Ovis aries: one gene and its partners. The protein of the gene in region 1 interacts with the protein of each later gene in a biochemical or structural test. Links are inferred from orthologs where the notes say so. Each region holds a gene or a part of one and is shown on either strand. Other genes may lie near its edges.

Evidence for each region.
Region 2: the proteins of MYOD1 (region 1) and CSRP3 form a complex in vitro, tested with the Homo sapiens proteins (2 studies listed by BioGRID and IntAct, with this or other methods). The link is inferred for Ovis aries from reciprocal best matches to the Homo sapiens genes MYOD1 and CSRP3.
Region 3: the proteins of MYOD1 (region 1) and CDK4 form a complex in vitro, tested with the Homo sapiens proteins (2 studies listed by BioGRID). The link is inferred for Ovis aries from reciprocal best matches to the Homo sapiens genes MYOD1 and CDK4.

What each region holds. Positions count from the first base shown.
Region 1 is NC_056068.1:34,553,440-34,557,474, forward strand, and holds MYOD1 (myoblast determination protein 1), read right to left. Parts: upstream 2,801-4,035; 5' UTR 2,459-2,800; coding exon 1,829-2,458; intron 1,315-1,828; coding exon 1,236-1,314; intron 976-1,235; coding exon 725-975; 3' UTR 6-724; downstream 1-5. UniProt on the Homo sapiens protein: Acts as a transcriptional activator that promotes transcription of muscle-specific target genes and plays a role in muscle differentiation. Together with MYF5 and MYOG, co-occupies muscle-specific gene promoter core region during myogenesis.
Region 2 is NC_056074.1:23,277,031-23,281,196, forward strand, and holds the start of CSRP3 (cysteine and glycine-rich protein 3), read left to right. Parts: upstream 1-1,366; 5' UTR 1,367-4,166. UniProt on the Homo sapiens protein: Positive regulator of myogenesis. Acts as a cofactor for myogenic bHLH transcription factors such as MYOD1, and probably MYOG and MYF6.
Region 3 is NC_056056.1:161,900,650-161,904,475, reverse strand, and holds CDK4 (cyclin-dependent kinase 4), read right to left. Parts: upstream 2,649-3,826; coding exon 2,431-2,648; intron 2,265-2,430; coding exon 2,129-2,264; intron 2,014-2,128; coding exon 1,846-2,013; intron 1,694-1,845; coding exon 1,584-1,693; intron 1,334-1,583; coding exon 1,283-1,333; intron 1,138-1,282; coding exon 1,002-1,137; intron 594-1,001; coding exon 501-593; downstream 1-500.

The DNA of each region.
Region 1 (4,035 bases):
CGCGGTATAAATTAGCGTCTTTATTTCGAACACCTGAGCGAGCGCCCGCGGCTCGCCTGCCTGCCGTATAAACATACAAAGTCCCTGTCGCACCGCACACCATGCCTCAGAGATAAATACAGCCCGAGGGGCTCCTGCTCTGGCAAAGCAACTCTTATTTACAGGAATAGATTACAAAAGTATTACAAAAAGTGGTCCTGAACCGGGGGTGGGGGTTGGGGGGTGGGAGTGGTTACCGTTACACCTGTTAACACTTGGGAAGGGAGCGGCGGGAAACAGCTGAAGTCACCAGGGGGCTCCGGAACGGAGGGGCACGCCCCTGTAAGCGGTCGGGGGTCTTGGGGGCGGGGCTTAGGCCTGCGTGGGCCCCACCCCGCCATGGGGGAGGGGGCGAGGAAGAGGAAGGGCCTGGCTCTTCAAGGGTCAGCTCTGGCCCACGGAGTAACATCAAGTGGCCACCACAGCGGGTCTCAGGGAAGAGCGCTGAGTGGGGAGGGGGGGCGGGGGGGGGGGGGGGGAAGGACCATGTCCTTGCCCTGGGGTGCGGGAGGCGGAAACACAACAGTTCCCTCGCCTCTCCTACCTCGGGAGGGTCGCTTTTAAAGCGCTGTTGGGAGGAGAGTGGTTGGCACTTAAGCGCAATCTTTTGGGCGCGAGGGACCCTAGGGGCACCATCCCTCGGGCCTGTGGGCAGCGGCGCCCCCCGATGAGGCCGCCCAACCCCTCAGAGCACCTGGTAAATCGGGTTGGGGTTCGCGCCCGCGAGGCCCTGAGGGGCAGTGTCGGGGGAAGGGGCGGGGGTGCCGCACTCCACCTCGCTCCCGGCGGCCGCCTCCTGCGGGCCGGGAGACGACTCCGGCGGCGCGTCGGCCAGTAGAAGCGCGGGCGCTGCGGGGCTCTCGGTGGAGATGCGCTCCACGATGCTGGACAGGCAGTCGAGGCTCGACACCGCAGCGCTCTTCCCGGGCCGGGGTTCTGCGCGGGGAGGGGTAGGTTAGTATGCGGGGGTGCATAAGTCTCCCACCTCCGAGTTCAGTGCTTTGAGGCAGACGGGGAAACTGAGGGCCAGCCAGAATTCGTGAGGATCCCACGAAACTTCAGGATGAAAAAGGAGGGAACTACATGCTTAGTATTTCATTCCCGGTACCATCTCCCAGGATGGGGGCAAGGAGGTCTTAGATAAAGAGAAGCCAGAGTAGCTCAAAAGGGATGGGGAAGGAGGCGCGATTACGCACCATTGGGCGCCTCGCTGTAGTAAGCGCGGTCGTAGCAGTTCCGTCGCCGGGCACCACTCGGGGGGCCGCTGTAGTCCATCTGCAAATGGAAAGGAAGACCGAGTCAGGCCTGGGAACTGCGCAGGGCAGGAGCTCCATTCCCTGCAGCCGCCCCCTCCCCGACTCCCCAACTCCCCAAATCTCAGCAACGAGAGTTCCGGGCCCGGATCTGACTGGGTTCGGGAGCAAGGGTGGGCAGGAGCTGTCTGCAGCATGCCGGGCCAAACAGAGGGCAGACAGTCACCCAGGAGCACAAATCTGCATTTCGGCAACAGGGATTAGAGGAGAAAAAGCAGATTTTCGTGTCGGCGCAGCAGTGTTCTAACAGTGCCCCCAATCGGGTGGATCGTATTCTTCCTGTGCGTCCCCAAAGCCCTAGGCCATCCCAGTGACAGCTGCTTGGGGTGGCAGTGGACTCCACCAGGGGTCCACTCCCTGGAAGGTTCCCCGCCCAACCCTCCCTACCAGATGGCCAGCTCCTTGCCCTCTCGTAAACACATTCCTGATATACCAAGAGCTGCCCGCACTTCTCTAGCCCAGGGTCCTGGCCTTACCATGCCGTCGGAACAGTTGGAGCGCGGACTGGAAGCGTCCGAGTCGCCGCTGTAGTGTTCGCCGCTGCGGCCGGGGGGCAACGGGCCAGGCGCGTAAAAGGCAGCGGCAGCGCCGGGAGGCGCGGCGTCCTGGTCGCGAAGCAGCGCCTGCAGGCCTTCGATATAGCGGATTGCGTTGCGCAGGATCTCCACCTTGGGCAGCCGCTGGTTTGGGTTGCTAGACGTGCAGCGTTTGAGCGTCTCGAAGGCCTCGTTGACTTTGCTCAAGCGGCGCCGCTCGCGCATGGTAGCAGCCTTGCGGCGGTCGGCGTTAGTCGTCTTGCGTTTGCACGCCTTGCAGGCCCACAGTAAACAGCGGCCCGCCTGGTGGTGCCCGCTGGGCGCGCGCACATGTTCGTCCTCGCGCGCGCCCGGGGCCGGGTGCGCCGCTGCAGGGAAGTGCGAGTGTTCCTCCGGCTTCAGGAGCGCGCCCACGTGCACGAGGCGCGGATCCAGGTCCTCGAAGAAGCGCAGATCCGGGGAGTCGAAACACGGGTCATCATAGAAGTCATCCGCTGTTGCAAAGTTGCAGAGAGAGCCGTCGGGGCCCGTCAAGTCTACGTCGCGGAGCGGCGGCGACAGCAGCTCCATATCCCGGCGTGGGGCGGCGCGGTCCTGGCTTTGCCCAGCCTCAGCGGCAGCGGCAGGGGTTGCCAGAAACTTACTGCGGTTCTGGAGCCCCGGCAATGAGAGAGCAAAGCACTGAGGGTCTGAATGTATAACCAGCTGTTCCTCACCCTCCCCGGTCCTGTCCCGCCTGAGGGACGGACGGCGAGGAGAGCCGCGGCAGCGCCCTGAGGCCTCCCCACCCCTACCTTCACACCAGGCTCCCAGGGCTATTTATCCCGTAGTAGCCTAAGGGCCCCCGAGCCCCAGCTAGCGGCTAGGGGCGGGGGCGCCCGAGGCCAATAGGAACAGAGCAGGGAGGAGCTTGGGATCCCCAGGGTGGCAGCTGGGGCCAGAGACTGGCCAGCCCCCTACCCCTTGACACCCGCGCGCGAGCGCTCGGGCCCCTCCCCAGGCGGGGAGGAAGGCAGAGGCTGGCAGCCCAACGCAACTGCACTTGGCTCCCGGGCACACTCTTTCCAAATTTCTCCAGCCCTGGACTCCTCGTGTTTCCGCGGGAAACGCTGGCAACGCGCGCTTACCTTTGGGCTGACTTTGGGGTCCCCTTGGTCCACTGATTTGTGGGGACCCAGGAGCAGGATAGGGGTAGAAATCAGATCGGGAGAGATTTGGAAAGAGACACACTGCGATAAGGCAGAGGTACACTCAAAGCTAAGTTAGTGAGACGGTGAGGGGGTAAACCCAAGAGGCATTGAGAGACATTAAGAGAGCAGAAAGCTAGAGTCAGAGGCAGGAAGATGAGCAACGAGAAATGAGACTCAGTCCAAGTGGGGGAACCTGAGACTGAACGTTGCCGTCGTACCACTTGGCCAGCTCCTGCCAAGGGAATCACTCAGAGGGTCGCGGGCCCATTTTCTCTGCTCGCTTGGAAACCCAGCCGCATCTACACAGGAGTCGATGATCGCTGCCAAAGCTTCGTGCCAATCTCTCCAAACTCAGGGCCTGTCCCAGTCTGAAGGGAAGGAGACAAACTTCTGCCCAATTCAACCTGCGCGTTTCCGCAGGGAGATGTCCAGTGCGGGTCTCAGCCGCGATGTCTCTTCTGCTGGGGAAAAAAGGGAAAGTTCATTGCACAAAGGCTTAGAACGCCGAGACCACCTGAGAACCTGACTTCAGGGTGGAGTCTTTGAGAGCGGAGTTTGCAGACCAATGAGCAGAACCCCACAGTTCCCTGTGTGATTTTGTGGAAGTCACATCTCCTTCTGAACCTCAGTTTCCCCACTTTGTAAATCTGAGGATATTAATAGCGATCTCTCAGAGTGATTGCAGGGTTGAGGGGGGGGGGGGCGGTGAGAATCTAAAGAGAGCGAAGATGTGGAAGCCCTCAGTCCGAGGTGCAAGGATATACTAACAAGAGGGCTTGCTTCTGTCGTTGACACCAGCTGGACAGCTGGAAGTTGTGCTTCTTATAGCCCTCTCCGCTGTCAGCTGGGGCACTGAGCTCCTATGGAGGCCAAGGTAGTCTTAGGGCTAGGCTCCTGTGAAGGTCTCAGGGCATTTCTCCCCAGCCAGGACCACGGACTGCTACTGCTGCTGCTAAG
Region 2 (4,166 bases), on another chromosome or scaffold:
TGGAAGGACTGATACTGAAGCTGAGACTCCAGTACTTTGGCCACCTGATGCCAAGAGCTGACTCATTTGAAAAGACCCTGATGCTGGGAAAGATTGAAGGCGGGAGGAGAAGGGGACAACAGAGGATGAAATGGTTAGATGGCATCACCAACTCAATGGACATGAGTTTGAGTAAACTCCAGGAATTGGTGATGCACAGGGAAGCCTGGCATGCTGCAGTCCATGGGGTCGTAGAGTCAGACATGACTGAGTGACTGAACTGAACTGAAGCCCTAGATCTGGCCTTGATCTCATGGCCAGACCTCATGGTCTGGCCTTGAACAAGTTAGGCGTCTGTTTCTTTAGCCATAGCATAAAGACTTGGTCTACTGGGACTTCCCTGGTCGTCAAACTGGCTAACACTTTGTGCTCCCAATGCAGGATGCCCAGGTTCAACCCCTGGACAAGGAACTAGATCCCATATGCTGCAACTAAGACCTGGCGCAGCCAAATAAATACATGTATATATAATATATATATAAAATTTATAAAAAGGAAAGCAATTTGTCTATTAAACCTCTGAACTTCTTGTCAGCTATCAAATTCTATCATTCATTCAGTCCTTGATGCTTGATCAAAACATATGCGCTCTTCAGGCAGCGAGAAATCAGACCTCCAAAAAAATTGTGGGTTTATAGAGACTTGTCAAGACTTACCTTAAATAGGATGCACAGCCATGTTAAATTCTTAAGTTGAAAAAGATAACAAAGTAACTAAAAACTTTGGAGAGAAAACTTTTCCTCATAGGATAGCAGGCCATGAAGTGACGTGACTTGAATGATTAAGCTGACTTTATTTTCCCAAGCTGCTTTGAAGAGATCATCTAAGTATTATTCCAGACACCCATCACTCTTATTTTTAGCTCTGAGTTTCCTTCACAAGAACAGTGACCTGTGTCTTCGAGTTCCAGAGGGCGCCCAGATATGGTTCATGATTCATGTGCAGGTACTTTGCATTGATTTCCAGGAAGGTCAGGAGAGTGGGAGCCTGGAAAATTGATTTTAGGTGTAAAATCCTTTCTTGCTTTTGTTCCTGTTCCCAGCATTTGATCAGAAATGCACACTCCACAAATTGATCCCTGTATGCCAAAGGCTATTGGCAAATACAACAAAACCCAGGCGATATGGTTCTGCAGGGGCCTCGCAGCTGGTGTGGGGGGAACGACACTCAGGGCTTTGGTCACAAGCTATTTTCGGCCTCTGATAGCAGTTGTGTTACTCATGTCTCATTCACCCCCTCCCCTCAGCCTCCCTCCCCTTCCCTGAACTGAGGGCCAAGGCTGGTGACGGCCCTCATGTATTTAAAGAGGACGTGAGCCCCCTTATGCAGCTGAGCCGACAGAGATCACACAGACAGGTGAGTGGAGCGAAGGGCATCAGGCCTGGGGGTGAGCTGGCCTGGGGGCGCACTGGGACTACGAAGGGTCCGTAGAGTAAGGGTGTGCTTCATAGAGCAAGCGTGTATTTCTTTCAAGCGCCACCAGCCACTTTGGTTCCATGTGAGGAGGGTCAAGTTATGCTCGATTCTGGGGTAGACTAGAACACTCCTCAAAGGGTGATTAGCATTCGAGGGTGCAAGGAAAGCTCCCAGAGAATGAGTAAGGAATCATTTTTGGTCTAAAACTATTTTGATGGAATAATGTTTCTTATTGTCTTAGTCAAAAGGTGTTCATTCTAGTCCTAGGATCACATAACGAATGACATGTGACTTTGAGAAAGTCCCTGCCCTCAGGGTCTTGGTCTCCCCTCCCAGGATCAGTATGGATGTGGTGACATTTTCCTACATTGTAAAGCCCTGCGCAACGTGGTTACAATAGACACGATACAGCAGAAGCCACCTTTCCAATGCTTAAAATACAAGGATCTGTTCTTTTTCAAAAGGTGTGAGTGAGTGACTCAGACTTCTACAGTTCACCTTATCCTGTCTTGCACTTTGGTAAAACTTGAAAGTCATTGATTTAAAACAGATTTTATATCCCAAGGATGTTCAGCAATAGGCTTGCTCTTAAGCATTTGAAACTAATCAAAACAAGCCCCCCAAAAAGACATGTCTGTGTCGAAAATCAATTAAAAGTTCTGTTTGCTGGGAAGACCATTCCCAGCTGGGGCTTGAGGGGTGATTCCCATTGTTTCCCCTAGATTTCAGTACAGGATTCTGTTGTTACTGTTGCTGTTACATCCCAGTGAATGACAGGCATGAGTGTGACTGAGAGTGAGAAATGAGTGAAAATGCTGTCCAAGGATCAGAGCCACCGCCTCTAATTCCTGTTCCCTTCACTGAGCCAAGGTGGTGACTCAAGAAGGGAGGGTTGGCAAACAGGTCTGAGGACCCCTGTCTCTGCAGTACAGTTTACAGTTCATTGCCATTGATGAGCTTATACTGACTGTCTCCTGAATGCAAGGAAGGGTGGGCATCAATACAAAAAGGGCAGGAAAATGGGGAAAACCTGTGTCCTCAGTTTATAATATTTTGGGGATTGAACTGCAACGCTGGGTACATTCAGTTCATTGCAATGTATGTAAAACTTCTATATGACCCAGAAAATGTCAGAGATTCTTCTGGCTTGACTTCGGTTCCATTCTGAACAATTCAGTCCTTAAAAGAAGCCCTGCCTATTGGTAGGGGTACAGGTGACCCCCAGGCTCAGAACCCTCTCAAACGGGCAGACAGGTGCTCTGCAGCCCCCCACACAAGCCATCCACTGGAGATGGAGGAGGTAGGAGATTGGGGGCAGAGAAGGAGAAGGAAAGAGTGAGCAGGATCTTTCAACAGGCAAATTGCTACAGTCCTCCTGGAAGACGGGGAGACAGACTCTTGGGAAAATACAAATTCAGAAATCCTGGGGGACTTCCTTGGTGATCCAGTGGTTAAGAATTTGCTTTCCAGTGCAGGGAATGTGGCTTTGATCTCTGACTGGGGATCTAAGATTCCACATGCCTGCTGTAGGGCAACTAAAACTTTGTGCCAGCCTGTGTGCTGCAAAGACCCAGTGCAGCCAAAAAAAGAAAAAAAAGTTCATGTTTAAAAAAAAAAGAAAGAAATTCTTCAAACTTGAAAAAGGAAATAGTAGCAAATGAAGAGCCTCAGCCATAGAGGCAGTTCAAATTCTAGCTTTGAATATCACTTCCCTGAGTTTCCATTTCTGAACAGTAAAAATTAAAGTTAGGCCACCTATCCCAAGGGCATTTGTTAGAAACAAATGGAATAAAGTATGAGAAAGTAGTCTGTAAGCTTAGTAAAACTGTACCAATAGTTCAGGCCTTGGAGAAAAGGCACAGGGCCACACCCCATGGGCTGCGAGAGGATTTCCTGCTAAGTACAAGTGTGTTAGATGCTCAGTAGTGTCCGACTCTTCGTGACCCCATGGACTGTAGTCTGCCAGGCTCCTCTGTCCAAGAAAGAATACTGGAGTGTGTTCCCGTTCCCTTCTACAGGGGATCTTCCCATCCCAGGAATCGAACCCAGGTTTCCTGCATATGCAGGCAGATTCTTTACCATCTGAGCCACTACAAGTGCGATGGTAGAGGTTGGAGCAAATAACAAGCTGATCAGGAGTTAGATGATTAACCTGTTTTATAAGAGGAAGGACACAGACAAGGAATATAACACACGGGAAATAGAACTCCTGAGGCAGGCAGACTTCCAATTATAAGTGTGCCGCTCAGATTTTCGGGAGTACTATATCCAAGAGCTGGACCTCACAGCCAAAGAGAAATGGCATGCCTTCAACTGTGAAGAATCGCAGTTACTCACTGCAGTGAAGGAAAGCGGGAGAAGAGACAATCATTGTCTTATTATTGGGCCCAAAGAAGACAGAAGCTTCTCTGAGCCTGACCGGTGACCTCATCATGGGAAAGGGGTCATGATTTGTCCGTTGTTTACTGCCCTGTGCAGGCGTGCAGCGCAGTTAGCCAAAAGTCACCAAAAGTGGTGCAAGACGTCATTCTTCACAGCGAGTAACGAAACTTCAGAGAAGCAAAGTAATCACTCAGGGTCACGTGGCTAGGAAGTGGCTGAATCAGGATGCACCCTAGGGTGCAACATGGTCTTTAAAAACAAATTATAAAGGTCAAGAGAGCCGAGTGAGTTTCTGAGAGTAACAGTCGGCCACATCCTCAGAGACGATT
Region 3 (3,826 bases), on another chromosome or scaffold:
AAAATAAAAACCATTTAAACTCTATAATCAAAGAAGCCATGTAAATGCCTTTCCTTCCCTTGTTAGTAGAGGGGCTCCACTGACCCTGTGATCTAAAGAGAATCTGCAAGGAAATTCCATCTTCCAAATGGTTTTTTCCAAATTCCCAAACAGTAAAGCCAATCAGAGGAAGAAATATTAAAAAAAAAAAAAGACCATATTTGTTTTGTTTGTCCTGTATAAAAAAGGATCCCAATATAAAGGTATAAAGAAGGGGAGAACAAGGGACATATCTCTTGGTGTAAGGACACAGGATAAGGATAAGCCTCAAAAAGAAGGGTGGGAGGGGAATATTGTTAAGGCAGTAAAATATTGTCTGTAAAAAGTTGGAGGAGTCGTCTCCACAGCTTCAGAGGTGAAGGCAGAGGTTGCCTTCTCAGTGGTGGGGCTCTCCACTCAAGTGTTCAAAAGAAGGGAAATTTGTGTCTCTCGCCTTGGTTCTGTTCCAGCCATTCTGTTGCTCACTCTGCGTCACCTTCTGCCTTGTGTAGATAAGAGTGCTGCAGGGCTCGGAAGGCAGAGATTCGCTTGTGTGGGTTAAAAGTCAGCATCTCCTGAGAAGAGACGCAAATGTCAGAAAACATGGAAGAAACAAAAGGGACTCCTGCTTAACCCTAACAATACCTAGAATGGGTGATTTTTTTCTATCCCTCTTGTGGCCAGCCGTTCAAAACAGTAATAAAAACCAACCTGTTCATTATCAAGTCTCAGTAACAACAATGCATTTGGGTCCCTTTTATCCTGCTCCATTTCCCCCCACTGATGGCTCAAGTGGTAAAATAAACTGCCTGCAATGCAGGAGACCTAGATTCAATCCCTGGGATGACCCGCTGGAGAAGGAAATGGCAACCCACTCCAGTGGGCTACAGTCCATGGGGTTGTAAAGAGTCTGACAGGACTGAGTGACAAACACGTGATTTCCCCCTGTAGTCTCGCCCTGTGCCCATGCCTGAGTCTATTACCAGCAGCAGCTGTGCTCCGGATTCCTCCAGCTCAGGGACCACTGACTGCACTGGGCGGGGCCCTCTGGGGGAAAAGGCTCCTCGGGGTAGAGAGACATCTCGGGGCCAGTCATCCTCCGGGGGCAGTCCGATCAGGCTATGGGGAACAAGAGAATTCTGGTCAGGAGGGCCTTTTTCCAGCCCCCATCTCCAGGGGCAGAGCCAGCTGCTGTCAAGGACTCAGCAGAATGCAAAGTCAAGGACTCGGAATGCAAAGTTCTTCCCCCTTGCAGGTCACTTACTCAAAGATTTTGCCTAACTGGTCAGCTTCAGAGTTTCCACAGAAGAGAGGCCTAAGGTGAAAAGAGACAGTCATTCCAGTAGCAGTTTTACAAAGACAGGGTGGTAGATACTGTTTAGTGGCTCAAAACATAGGGTGTGGAGAATAAAGGGCTATGAAATTCCTAATTCCAGAACATTTCAGAGTTTCCGGCTATGGACAAGGTGGCCAATAGTAAGTGGAAGAGCAGGCAGGGTATAGGCGTGGCTTATGAATAAAAAACTTGGGAAATTCAAAATGTTTGGGATACTTGGGCCCCATACTTTCGACGAAACATCTCTGCAAAGATACAGCCAACACTCCACATGTCCACGGGTGTTGCATACGTAGACTGCAAAAGAACTTCTGGAGCACGATACCAGAGTGTAACAACCTGATGGGAATAAGTAATGCGGATGAGAGTCCTGCAAGTTACTGCAAAGCACATGGAAAAACACGCTCCTTCTCAACTGTTATGGGCAATCACTCTTCTCCCCCAGCCAGACCCCACTCTGGCCCCATCCTGGCCACCATCATTCTACTGACCACAGGTGTAAGTGCCATCTGGTAGCTGTAGATTCTGGCCAGGCCAAAGTCAGCCAGCTTGACTGTCCCACCACTTGTCACCAGAATGTTCTCTGGCTTCAGGTCTCGGTGAACGATGCAGTTGGCATGAAGGAAATCCAGGCCTCTTAGAAACTGGCGCATCAGATCCTGGTTTGGAAGGGGGAAGTACAGAGAAACTGGGAATCAGGTGCCACACCTGAAATTACAACAAACTACCACAAAGGTCTCAAGCTATCTCTCAGTGTCTGCCCGCCCTACTTACCTTTATGGTCTCCACTGGCAAGCCTGGTGGGGGTGCCTTGTCCAGATACGTCCTGAGGTCTTGGTCCACATGCTCAAACACCAGGGTCACTTTGGTCTCCCGGTCAGTTCGGGCTGTTGCACAGACGTCCATGAGCCTGGCCAGAACAAATGGTCACTCATTGAGCAATGGTCTTGGACCCAACATGGCCTCCCCTATTTCCTCAGGGTTCCCACTCCTCTTCTGACCACCACTCCACATCTACAGGTTAGGCTGTCTTTTTCCTTTCACGACCCATTCCCACCCTTCCATCTTCTTCTCACCTGACAACATTGGGATGCTCAAAAGCCTCCAGACGCCGCAGTAAGGCCACCTCCCGAACGGTGCTGATGGGCAGGCCCCCTCCAGCACCTCCTCCGTTGGGGACTCTCACACTCTTGAGGGCCACAAAGTGGCCACTGTGAGGATCACGGGCCTTGTACACTGTCCCATAGGCACCGACACCAATCTCAGCCACTGGCTCGTATCGAGAGGTAGCCATTCTCAGACCAGAGGAGGCCCTACAATCACAGAGGCTCAATGAGCCTGCAGCAACAAAGTGACTCCCACAAAAGACATCACGAAGACAACACCAACAGCATTCCCAAGCTTCCCTGAAGGCAGCCCCCTAGGTAACACAATAACTCTAACCCCAAACCCTCCAGCCACGTGAGGCCCTATAACTTTTTCAAAGATGCATTTTCCTTGGGGACCATCAAGCCCCACACAAGGGAAATCCCATAAGACACACCCCCTACATCAAAGACCCGACACCCAGTTCCTGAAATTACACCTCCCTTCGGCCACAAAGGAACATTATCACATCCTGCCCCACTTCCCGCCCTCGAGCAACCCTTCCATAACCAGCCCGCGTAGGAAGCAGTGGACGGCGAGAATGGTCCCCATTCCTGAAAAGGGCTACACTCACCTCGCCCCGTGTCAGGAGCTGCGGGGTCGGCCCGTTATCCGGACCCCGGAGCCGGTTCCTGCAGCGCCATACACTCGAGGTCTGTCCTGGGCAGCTGGACGCTATGGGCCCGACCATAGACACAGGCCGCAGGCTAGAGCGGCCCCCTTTACCCCCACCCTCACCATGTGACCAGCTGCCAAAGAGGCGCGCGGAAATTGGAGGGGCGGGGCCAACGCCGGACGTTCGGACCACGTGACCGGACTACTCATGCGCGGAGGGGCAGCCAGAAAGCGGCTTTGAACGAGAAAGGGGCGAGGAGGGGAAAGAGGCGGAGAGAGATGGCAACCACATGATCTGTTGCTATCACACGTGACCGCTTGACATTGCTTGGAGGAGCAGAGGTGTGGTTACGCTGAAGGGCACGTGACTGGCTGCCTTAACTCTGGCTGGGCGTTGGGGCGGGAGAAGAGAGAGGGTGGAGTCCAATGCGATGCCATGGCAACCTGGGCCACCCAGGATTCCCAACTCCGGGCTGCAAGCCGAGCCTGAGTCTCACTACCTGTCTCTCACTCTCTCTAAGCGGGGAGATGGGTCGAGGGACGGGAGGTGCTGCTGTCGTCTTTCTGCTCCATCGCTAGCAGAAAACATGTTCTCATTTGTGTCTTTGTTTCATTCATTCATTCAGCAAATGTTTACTGAGTCCTTGCTTCCTGTGTGTCTGTGGGGTTTCTTTTTTTTGTTAATTTTTTTTCGACAAGTGTCGCAGACAC